Linked DNA regions of Callithrix jacchus. The protein of the gene in region 1 purifies or fractionates together with the protein of each later gene. This does not show direct contact. Links are inferred from orthologs where the notes say so. Each region holds a gene or a part of one and is shown in the gene's direction. Other genes may lie near its edges.

Region 1 (3,580 bases):
TCAGTCTTCCAAGTTCTTGCGTCTCATACATCTTGTTTCTGTAGCCCGCAAATTAATCATTATTCATGTTGCATATTACATGCTTGTTTAGATTTACTCACGTTTACCAATTTGCTCACCATTTTTCCATCTAATTTCTTCCTTTTCGGTTCCATGTGCTTGTTACTGAAGTACATTCTTTAAAAATTATTTCAGCTGCCGCACTCAGTGGCTCACGCCTGTAATCCAGCACTTTGGGAGGCGGAGACGGATGGATCACGAGGTCAGGAGATCAAAACTATCCTGGGCAACGTGGTGAAACCCCGTCTCTACTAAAAATACAAAATTAGCTGGGTGTGGTGTCACGTACCTGTAGTCCTAGCTACTCAGGAGGCTGAGGCAGGAGAAATCGCTTGAACCCGGGAAGTGGAGGTTGCAGTGAGCTGAGATTGCGCCAGTGCACTCCAGCCTGGGCGACAGAACGACTCAGTCCCACCCCCCAAAAATAATTTCAGCAACAGTCTTTCGTGTAAGCTCTTTGTCACCACCTATCTTTACTTCTTAACTCTTAAATCATGGATCAACACCTCGTTGACAGCATTTTTCCTGTCAACGAGGTGTAAAGCGTTACATTTTACTGTAGCCTTCTACGTTTGCTGCTGAGAAGTTTGTTATTGGTGTAATTTTTAAAATCCATCATCCTTGGTCGCTTTTAAAATCGCATAGTCTTTGGAGTTCTGCAGATTCACTAGCGTCCAGATGTTCATCTCCGGTGTTTGCATTCCACCCGATTTTAAGAATCACTTCTGGCAGCTCTCCTTCAGGAACTGCCTCTGCAGGGAGCTCTGCCCCGGCCTGTGAGATCTCCCGGCATTGCCATCCGTGGCTTTTTCCTTTTTATTCTCCATCACCTGTCTCTCTGGTGAGCTGCTTCCGATCAGCCTCCAGGTCCGCGCACTCTTTTCTGCTGTCCTACACCTCATCCTCCGAGACCTGAATTTCCATGGCTCTACTTGTCAATTCTAGAATTCCTTTGCAAACCTGGGCCTTCTTTTGTGATGTCTTGCTTGATCCTGTGCCTCCTGCACCTTCTCCCGTCTCTCGTCCTGAGCCCCTAGAAGGCGCCGGCTGTTTCCCACGGTGCCCAGAATCGCGCCAGGCCTGGCACAGACTCGGTGAGGGCGCGGGGAGCGGTGCCGCGGGGCTGCAGCCTGGCCCGCCCATTCCCTCAGCCCTTGGCAGCCCCGCCGCCCTCCAGGCCTCACCTGAGTTCCGCGCCGGGAGAGACTCCTGGGCCGGCCATGACGTCACAGGACTGTGACGCGCCCAGGAGCCCCGCCCCTCGCGTCCCGAGCCGGGGACCCAGGGGCTCTGCGCCGTGACGTCATGAGCCCGGGCGGGCAGGTTGTGCGTCGGCCCAATGGGAGCAGTGCGCCGGCCTCCCCTTTAAGGAATGTTGTGACCTGACGTCACCGGGCGAGTTACCTCCCGCAGCCGCCGCCGCCGCGCTCAGCGCGAGCCCCGGAGCCCTTCAGCGTGAGGCACGGAGCCCCCGGAGCCCCCAAACCGCAGCCACATCCCCACGTCCCAGAGCCCCGGCCTGCGCGCCCAACCGGGCCCGCGCGATGCCCTCAGACCGGCCTTTCAAGCAGCGGCGGAGCTTCGGTGAGGCCCCGCGGGCAAGCTGTGAGCTCGGAGCAGGGGTACGCGGGGGCCCGGCCGACCCCGACTACCGCGGGTGACGTCAGTCCTGTGACGTCAGGCCCCAGCCGGACCCTCGGGATGGGAGGCTGACTCCAGCCTGGGCGGAGGCCGCCCACCTCCCCACCATGATAGGTGCTAGGGGCTGTGGGGCCTGCCGGCCCCGGGGGCGGGGGCTGGAGCTGGGGCGGGGCCGGGGGCCGCCCCTTGGGGACAGGCGGGGCGGAGACACGGGGAGGACCTGGGCCCGGCTCAGCCCGGCCTCAAGGTCCGGCCGCCATCCGCAGCCGACCGCTGTAAGGAGGTACAGCAGATCCGCGACCAGCACCCCAGCAAGATCCCGGTGAGTCCGGTGCCCCCAGCCCTGCCCCGCCCTGGCCGCGCCTCGCGCGCCCCCGACACGAACCCCTGCCCGCCTGCCCCGCTCCCAGGTGATCATCGAGCGCTACAAGGGTGAGAAGCAGCTGCCCGTCCTGGACAAGACCAAGTTCCTGGTCCCGGACCATGTCAACATGAGCGAGTTGGTCAAGATCATCCGGTGCGTGGGCAGCCGCCGCCAGGAGGCAGCTTGGGTCTGGCGGGGAGCCGGGTTCCCGCCGAGAGGAGGTGGGAGTGGGGTCAGTAGTGATGGGACCAGGCGGTGGGCCCCTGTTCTGGCGCGGCTGGAAAGGTCAAGGTCGGGGCTGCAGTTGGAGTCGGGTCAGAGGTGAGAGCTGGGGTGAGGATGGATGTGAAAGGCTGGGAATCATTCTGGGGGTCAGGGCTGTGCCTGCCCTGCAGCCACGTCCCTCACAGCCGCACACCCTCCCGCCTGCCTCAGGCGCCGCCTGCAGCTGAACCCCACTCAGGCCTTCTTCCTGCTGGTGAGCCAGCACAGCATGGTGAGCGTGTCCACGCCCATCGCGGACATCTACGAGCAGGAGAAAGACGAGGACGGCTTCCTCTACATGGTCTACGCCTCCCAGGAAACCTTCGGCTTCTGAGCCAGCAGTAGGGGGGTCGGCCTGGGAGTGGGGGGAAGCCCGGTCAGGCCCTGCCCAGAGAACCCCTGGTTCCTGAACTGAGCTGCCTCTGCTTGGGGGTGGGCTGGGCAGGGATGTGGCCCCGTAGTCAGAGGGCACCAACCCACCTCCTCTGCCCCTAAGTGGTTTTGTTAGGGTTGCCCCTCTGGGTGCTGGCTGGGATGGGGGAAGGTGGGAAGCATCCCCCCACACTCCTGCTGTGTGGTTCATCTTTTTTTTTAGGCCCCTGCCTGCCCCTCACCCACCCGAGGCTCTGCCCACTACCTGGACCTGCCCACCCCTGAAAGACTGGCCCCCCCACCCCTCCATCTCCACATGGTGTATGGATCTGTGGTCATTGTCCCTCTGCAGAATAAAGATTGCTCAGGCCTGCCTGGCCCTATGCCTCCAGCTGCTTGCTTGGGAGTGGGGAGGGTGCTGGTGGGGCTGTCCGAACCGTCCCTGGGCTCTGACATACCAGAAACACACACCTGTGTGTACTTTCCAGAACATTAGGGGCCACCCCCAGGAGTGCAATGCAGATATGGGCCCAGGGTAGGTTTCGTAACAAAAAACATTTATTAAGTAGCCACAACCTAACAAGCCCTGCTCACCTGCCTTTTCCAGAGCTCCCAGTTCCTCCCCAGAGGTCTTGCAGTCAGCCATGGGTCCCTTTTGATACCAGAGACTTGTGACCCTGGACTTGAACCTCTTCTGCCCAAGGACTCGCCTGCTGGCAACTCTGGCTGGAGGGCCTGGCCCAGTTTCCCGCCCCTGAGGTCCATGCAGCCCTGTGCCAGCCAGGCCTACTTGAGCACAAGCATGGCCTCCGTGCCGTCCTTGGCCGTCAAATAGAGGCCGTGTGTGAGGTAGTACTCCCGCCGCAGGAAGGCATAGAA
Region 2 (3,500 bases), on another chromosome or scaffold:
CAGAACCTTCAGCTGTGTGTGCAGGTGGCCTCTAAGTACCACGAGCAGCTGGGCACGCAGGCCCTGGTGGAGCTCTTCGAATTCTTCAAGAGTTATGAAGGTAAGCTGTGCAGCCTCTGGCTGACCCTGCGACGTGACTGTTCCTCTTTTCTCAGGTGTTGCTGTCTGCCTGCCTGACTTAAAACGGCCTTCCTGCAAAGCTGGGCAGGATGTAGCACCTGCTGCCTTGGGTGCTCAGTTGGTGGCAGAATGTACTGCTATCTCATGTGCACCACTCAGCTTCAGTAACCTTTTTGGTGTTTCCTGATGAAGAAATAGGTTGGTTGGTGATGGGGTAGAGAGACTTACAGAGCCCGGTGTGTCTATGCGGCACAGTCTGGCGAGAATTCATCTAAAAGCCTGTGACATGAGTACAGTGAAAGGGCTTGATGTCTGGTCTTCATAGCCCCAGGAGGGAGGCTCCTAGGACCGCTCCTAAGTGAGAGCCCATGAGTGCATTGCTTTGTGGTGTCTGCTACCTGTTGATTGTGGAGGCTGAGGCAACCTGGTTCTATTCCTTTGCCCTTCTTGGGCATCACAAAAGTGTGGTAGGGCAGTGGGGTGGGAGTGGCTTTGTTAGGGACAGGTTGGGGCTGTCTGGCCCTCCCAGGATAGAGACTGAGCATTTGTCTAGGCATCAAGCCACTGCCATGTGTCCAGTGAGGTTGGGGCATCAGTGGAGGGTGGGCCAGGACCCTTCCCTCAGGGAGTTGGCCTTCTCTTCAGAAGACATCACTGTAGGAAAGACCATGACAGAAGATTGGCTGGAGCTGGGCTGGGAGAGGGCAGTAAAGTAGGTTGGTGGGGAACCTCTGGCCTTGGGGCTGCCCATTCCTTTCCTAGCATCAGAGTCTCACGGTTACAGTGAAAGACCTCAACAGGGAGGGGCCTTCTTGGATGTATCCTATCCTATTGTTACTGGTGCCTCCTGGCTGGCCTCTGTAACGGTGAGGAACATCATTAGCCTCTGTGAATGCTGTCCTCTGGGGCTCACCCCAGTGGCTCAGCACGTGGGGCCCATGTCACTGTCAGCTCCGTGTCAAGTTGTGGGCTCCTGCCAGAGGCCATGGCTTATTTCTGTGTCCCTTGGCATGCCTTTTTAGAGCAGCAGTCTCACAGCCCTCTCAGATTACGTCAGTGAGAATGACTCTTGATGATGACTATCTAGGTAAACCTGGGCCACCAAAAGGAATTTCACATGTACCAAATACCTAGTATTTTACATCAAAACATGCAGGTGTACCTGCCAAATATGATGGAAATCTCACTGACTATTTTTGGGAGCTGCCAAAACAGACAAATGGCATATTGATTGTGAGTTCTGAGTGGGCTGTGGGTTCCTGAAGAGTGGAGCAGGGTCATCGATTGAAGGAGGGCAACAGCTGTGGAGGAGGCAGGTGGGAGTTACAAGGACAAAAATGGAATGGTCTCTCTTCATAGGCCTCTTCTACTTCCTGGGCTCAATCGTGAACTTCAGCCAAGACCCAGACGTGCATCTGAAATACATTCAGGCTGCCTGTAAGACAGGGCAGATCAAGGAGGTGGAGAGGATATGCCGGGAGAGCAGTTGCTACAACCCAGAGCATGTGAAGAACTTCCTGAAGGTGTGTTTCAGCACCACCTCCTTCCATGAGCTGCCCTCGCTGATGGCAGGTGGGGCAGACCATCCACAGATGTCCCAGGAGGTGGGAAGCTGGATCTGTCTCGCCAGGGCCCCCTTAGTCCCCAGAGACAGAGCTCCACTTTATGGCTTAAAGTTCTAGAGGAATCCATCTATCATTTTAAGAACTTGTAGAAGGAAGCTAGAGGCTGTGCTCTAAGTATCTGGCACCTAAGTGGAGGGAGTTAGTACATTCCTGCATTGCAGTTCATCAACATCCCATTGGTGCCTTGTAAATTAGGCAAAGCTGCAGGAACTAGTAGACCACTCAGCACTAGTGGCATAAAGAACAGGAAACCTACTTCCTTATGTGGCAGTCCTGGGTGGCTTGGAGGTGAGTGGGATGGCTTTCCTTCCCAGTGTCCTTCAAGGACCAGGCTCGTAGCTGCTTTGCTGTGTTCAGCACCTCACCCGAATGTCATCTTCCCAGCCAGCTAGAAGGGAAGAGCACAGAGGAACCAGCACAGGTAGTTTGTATGGGCAAAGCCTGCAAGTGGCAGATGACACTTGGATTCACGTTCCCCTGGGGGAAACACTTAAAACTTCAAGAGGGAACATAGGAAATATGATCTAGGCATGGGACCACACAAGGGGAGACATGATTGTGGTGACCTGTGGCTGTCGTACCCAAGTGCCATCATCATCTGGGAGCAGTGCCCAGGTGTGTTTCCATGGCCTGCAGCTGCGTGTCTGAAAAGGCAGCCCTTACCGCAGGTGTGCTGTTCTTGAGAATGGCCTGGTTTCTATTGGGTTTGCACATAATGAGCTGCTTGTCTTAAATCAAAAGATGCTTTCGTCCAGACTGGGAATGTTAATGCCAAATTTAGCACTCTTTAACCAAATACTATTATCTTCCTCTCACTTATTTCCCAAAGCAGACACCACACCACAAAACAGCAGCCTATCTAGAGCAGTCTCATGCCGAGTCTCCTGTGTGTCCCTCTGCTGCAGAGACAGTGCCGTCCCATGTGGGCAATGAGCCCAGGGTCTGGCTGGCTGGTTTCTTCTCCCTGACTTGTTCTGTGCATTCTAACCCTCAGGAGGCCAAGCTCACAGACCAGCTTCCCCTCATCATCGTGTGTGATCGTTTTGGCTTTGTCCATGACCTTGTCCTGTATTTATACCGCAACAACCTGCAGAGGTACATTGAGATCTACGTGCAGAAGGTACTGCTGGCTCCCTGGAGTGACACCCGGCTGCCCCTGGGCCCCAGTCAGTGGCAATAGTCTTCACCTCAGAGGCTGCCTCTAACACCTGAGCATTTTGGAGACTATCATTTTGAAGGGTGATCGGTTAGTGTGTTCAGACTGCCAGAGTAGAAGACCATAGTCCAGGCGGCTGACACAACACACATTTATTTCTCACAGTTCTGAAGGCTGGAAGTCCATGATCAAGGTGCTGGCAGGGCTGGTTTCTGGTGAAGGCTATCTTCCAGCCTTGCAGATGCCTCCTGGCTGTGCCCTCACAGGGCCTTTCCTCTGTGCATGTGCACGTGCACTCCCAGTGTCTCTTCCTCTTCTTAAAGGACACCAGTACCACTGCATTGGGGCCCCACCCTTGACACTGATTACCTCCTCTCTCCAAATATGATCCCACTGGGGGTTAGGACATCAGTGAGTGAATTTTGGTAGGACAAAGCCCAGTCCTAAACAGGAGCCCTCTCAGGATTTTGCCCACACTGTCCAAGTTGTAGGGGGCTTCCAACAATAACTTGTGTCTGCAACACTGAAGTTACTTGACCTTGACTACCCTAGGTCAATCCTAGCCGGACCCCAGCTGTGGTTGGAGGGCTCCTTGATGT
Region 3 (3,500 bases), about 89 Mb from region 1:
CTACCTGCTGATATCACGGAAGATGAATTCAGAAGACTATTTGTTAAATATGGAGAACCTGGAAAAGATTTAATCAACAAAGGCAAAGGATTCGGATTTATTAAGCCTGAATCCAGAGCTTTGGCTGAAATTGCCAAAGCTGAGCTCGATGATACGCCCATGAGAGGTAGACAGCTTCGAGTTCGCTTTGCCACACATGCTGCTGCCCTTTTTGTTCATAATCTTTCACCTTACGTTTCCAGTGAACTGTTGGAAGAAGCCTTCAGCCAGTTTGGTCCTATTGAAAGGGCTGTTGTAATAGTGGATGATCGTGGAAGATCTACAGGGAAAGGCATTGTTGAATTTGCTTCTAAACCAGCAGCAAGAAAGGCATTTGAACGATGCAGTGAAGATGTTTTCTTGCTGACAACAACTCCTCGTCCAGTCATCGTGGAACCACTTGAACAGCTAGCTGATGAAGATGGTCTTCCTGAAAAACTTGCGCAGAAGAATCCGATGTATCAAAAGGAGAAACTCCTCGTTTTGCCCAGCATGGCACATTTGAGTACGAATATTCTCAGCGATGGAAGTCGTTGGATGAAATGGAAAAACAGCAAAGAGAACAAATGAAAAAAATATGAAGGATGCAAAAGACAAATTGGAAAGTGAAATGGAAGATGCCTATCATGAACATAGGCAAATCTTTTGCACCAAGATCTGATGAGACAACAGGAAGAATTAAGACGCATGGAAGAACTTCATAATCAAGAAATGCAGAAACGTAAAGAAATGCAATTGAGGCAAGAGGAGGAACTACATAGAAGAGAGGAAGAGATGATGATTCGTCAGCGTGAGATGAAAGAACAAATGAGGCGCCAAAGAGAGGAAAGTTATAGCCGAATGGGCTACATGGATCCAAGAGAAAGAGACATGAGAATGGGTGGCGGAGGAGCAATGAACATGGGAGATCCCTATGGTTCAGGAGGCCAGAAATTTCCACCTCTAGGTGGTGGTGGTGGCATAGGTTATGAAGCTAATCCTGGAGTTCCACCAGCAACCATGAGTGGTTCCATGATAGGAAGTGACATGCGTACTGAGCACTTTGGGCAAGGAGGTGCGGGGCCTGTGGGTGGACAGGGTCCTAGAGGAATGGGGCCTGGAACTCCAGCAGGATATGGTAGAGGGAGAGAAGAGTACGAAGGCCCAAACAGAAAAACCCCGATTTTAGATGTGATATCTAGGCTTTCATTCCAGTTTGTTTTGTCTTTTGTTTAGATACCAATCTTTTAAATTCTGACATTTTAGTAAGAAAGCTATCTTTTTATGGATGTTAGTAGTTTATTGACCTAATATTTGTAAATGGTCTGTTTGGGCAGGTAAAATTATGTAATGCAGTTGTTTGAAACAGGATAATTTTTTTTCTTACTTCCTTATTTTTTCTTTTTTTACTGTATAATGTCCTTCAAGTTATGGCAGTGTACCTTGTGCCACTGAATTTCCAAAGTGTACCAATTTTTCTTTTTTTACTGTGCTTCAAATAAATAGAAAAATAGTTATTAAAAAAAAAAAAATACATGGGGGTGATAAAACAGGATAGTGGTTGCTCCTAAGTGTGGGGAGAGGGAAGAGATGCATACCGGAAGTGTGAGTCTTCCAATTCAGAGTTCTTCATATTGTTTATGTTATTGTTTTTCAAAAGTTCGTAAAAATAAAGGTCTATCTGTTTGATTCTATTCTGCTAGTATGTAATATCTTGAAATATTTTAGTTGTTTTTATCAGAACTCAAAGTAACTATGTTCTCTAGAAGACAAAATTTGTTCTTAAAGCATTTATAGTGTCCAAATAAATTCTCAGGTAAAGAAAGAGTTTGTGCATAATTTTGTCTACATACTTTCCATAGTATCTTTAAACAATTTCTTTTATCTCTTTTTTTGCAGATTGTAGATGTCTTTATGGAATACAATCTAATTCAGCAATGTACCGCATTCTTGCTTGATGCACTGAAGAATAATCGCCCATCTGAAGGTCCTTTACAGACGCGGTTACTTGAGATGAACCTTATGCATGCGCCTCAAGTATGTGTTCTAATGTTTTTTAGGCATGTTTCCAATATTGCTTTAATAATTGTGCAGAGCATCTCAGATTGTTATTCAAAGCTACTGAGATGCCTACTCCTTATACAAGAAAATTTAGCTATTATATATTCTTTTGTACTTTCTTTTATCAGTTCACTATTAAACCTTAATATGTAATATGGATATTGAATTACTCATATAAATGGGATGGACAATAAACTTACCTTATTTGTGGTTTTACAGGTTGCAGATGCTATTCTAGGCAATCAGATGTTCACGCATTATGACCGGGCTCATATCGCTCAGCTGTGTGAAAAGGCTGGCTTACTGCAGCGTGCATTAGAACACTTCACTGATTTATATGATATAAAACGTGCAGTGGTTCACACCCATCTTCTTAACCCTGAGGTATTTTAGTTTCTTACCTAATAGATGGTGTTAGTTGTGATTAATAGGCACACTGAAAATGTGTTTGTAGTACTAAATATTAATAATTTCATACCTCCATGAGTTTCAACATTGTTTCATTTATTCATTCATTCATTTATTTTGTCTTGTAGTGGTTAGTGAATTACTTTGGTTCCTTATCAGTAGAAGACTCTCTAGAATGTCTCAGAGCCATGCTGTCTGCCAATATTCGTCAGAATCTGCAGATCTGTGTTCAGGTGGCTTCTAAATATCATGAACAACTGTCAACTCAGTCTCTGATTGAACTTTTTGAATCTTTCAAGAGTTTTGAAGGTAATTAGGAGTTTTTGAGTTTGTAAAAAGTACTTAAGATAGCCAAGAAGAGGTATGCTTATGATCAGGCTATTGGAAATTTTGTCTTTCTAAAAATTTGGTTCTATGGGACATTTTAATTTTTTAAGTTTTGTTATTCAGTAAATGTTGCCAGGCGTGGTGTCTCATGCCTGTAATCCCAGCACTTTGGGAGGCCGAGGTAGGCAGATCACAAGGTCAGGAGATCGAGACCATCCTGGCCAACATGGTGAAACCCCATCTCTACTAAAAATATAAAAATTAGCTGGGCGTGGTGGTACGTGCCTATAATCCCAGCTACTCTGGAGGCTGAGGCAGGAGAGTTGCTTGAACCTGGGAGTCGGAGGTTGCAGTGAGCCAAGATTGCGCCACTGCATTCCAGCCTAGCGACGGAGTGAGACTCTGTTTCAGGGAAAAATAATAATAATAATAATAATGTCATCAAGGCCCTTTTATATTGGATCCTAAGGATATGCAGTGAACAAGACCATCTGTTTGGATATTTTATAGATGAATTAAAGGTAGAATTTTAAGAGAAAAATATGTAGTGATGTTTAAATTGTAAAAAGTGAAAATACAGGTTGAGTGTCCCTAATCTGAAAATCCAAAATGCATCAAAGTTCAAAACTTTTTGAGTTCAAAGGAAATGCTTGTTGGAGCATTTCAGAAATTGGATTTTCAGATTA

Evidence for each region.
Region 2: the proteins of MAP1LC3A (region 1) and CLTCL1 purify together in Homo sapiens (affinity purification with mass spectrometry; 3 studies listed by BioGRID and IntAct, with this or other methods). This does not show direct contact. The link is inferred for Callithrix jacchus from reciprocal best matches to the Homo sapiens genes MAP1LC3A and CLTCL1.
Region 3: the proteins of MAP1LC3A (region 1) and CLTC purify together in Homo sapiens (affinity purification with mass spectrometry; 3 studies listed by BioGRID and IntAct, with this or other methods). This does not show direct contact. The link is inferred for Callithrix jacchus from reciprocal best matches to the Homo sapiens genes MAP1LC3A and CLTC.

The regions. Positions count from the first base shown.
Region 1 is NC_133506.1:4,744,815-4,748,394, reverse strand, and holds MAP1LC3A (microtubule-associated protein 1 light chain 3 alpha), read left to right. Parts: upstream 1-1,457; 5' UTR 1,458-1,604; coding exon 1,605-1,644; intron 1,645-1,739; exon of another isoform or gene 1,740-1,808; coding exon of another isoform or gene 1,809-1,815; intron 1,816-1,967; coding exon 1,968-2,023; intron 2,024-2,111; coding exon 2,112-2,218; intron 2,219-2,500; coding exon 2,501-2,663; 3' UTR 2,664-3,080; downstream 3,081-3,580. Other genes in the region: GPI-anchor transamidase component PIGU, read right to left, coding at 3,488-3,580. UniProt on the Homo sapiens protein: Ubiquitin-like modifier involved in formation of autophagosomal vacuoles (autophagosomes). While LC3s are involved in elongation of the phagophore membrane, the GABARAP/GATE-16 subfamily is essential for a later stage in autophagosome maturation.
Region 2 is NC_133502.1:210,867,860-210,871,359, reverse strand, and holds part of CLTCL1 (clathrin heavy chain 2), read left to right. Parts: coding exon 1-100; intron 101-1,479; coding exon 1,480-1,643; intron 1,644-2,739; coding exon 2,740-2,865; intron 2,866-3,453; coding exon 3,454-3,500. UniProt on the Homo sapiens protein: Clathrin is the major protein of the polyhedral coat of coated pits and vesicles. Two different adapter protein complexes link the clathrin lattice either to the plasma membrane or to the trans-Golgi network.
Region 3 is NC_133506.1:94,241,249-94,244,748, forward strand, and holds part of CLTC (clathrin heavy chain 1), read left to right. Parts: exon of another isoform or gene 1-1,548; intron 1,549-1,917; coding exon 1,918-2,055; intron 2,056-2,298; coding exon 2,299-2,463; intron 2,464-2,615; coding exon 2,616-2,796; intron 2,797-3,500. UniProt on the Homo sapiens protein: Clathrin is the major protein of the polyhedral coat of coated pits and vesicles. Two different adapter protein complexes link the clathrin lattice either to the plasma membrane or to the trans-Golgi network.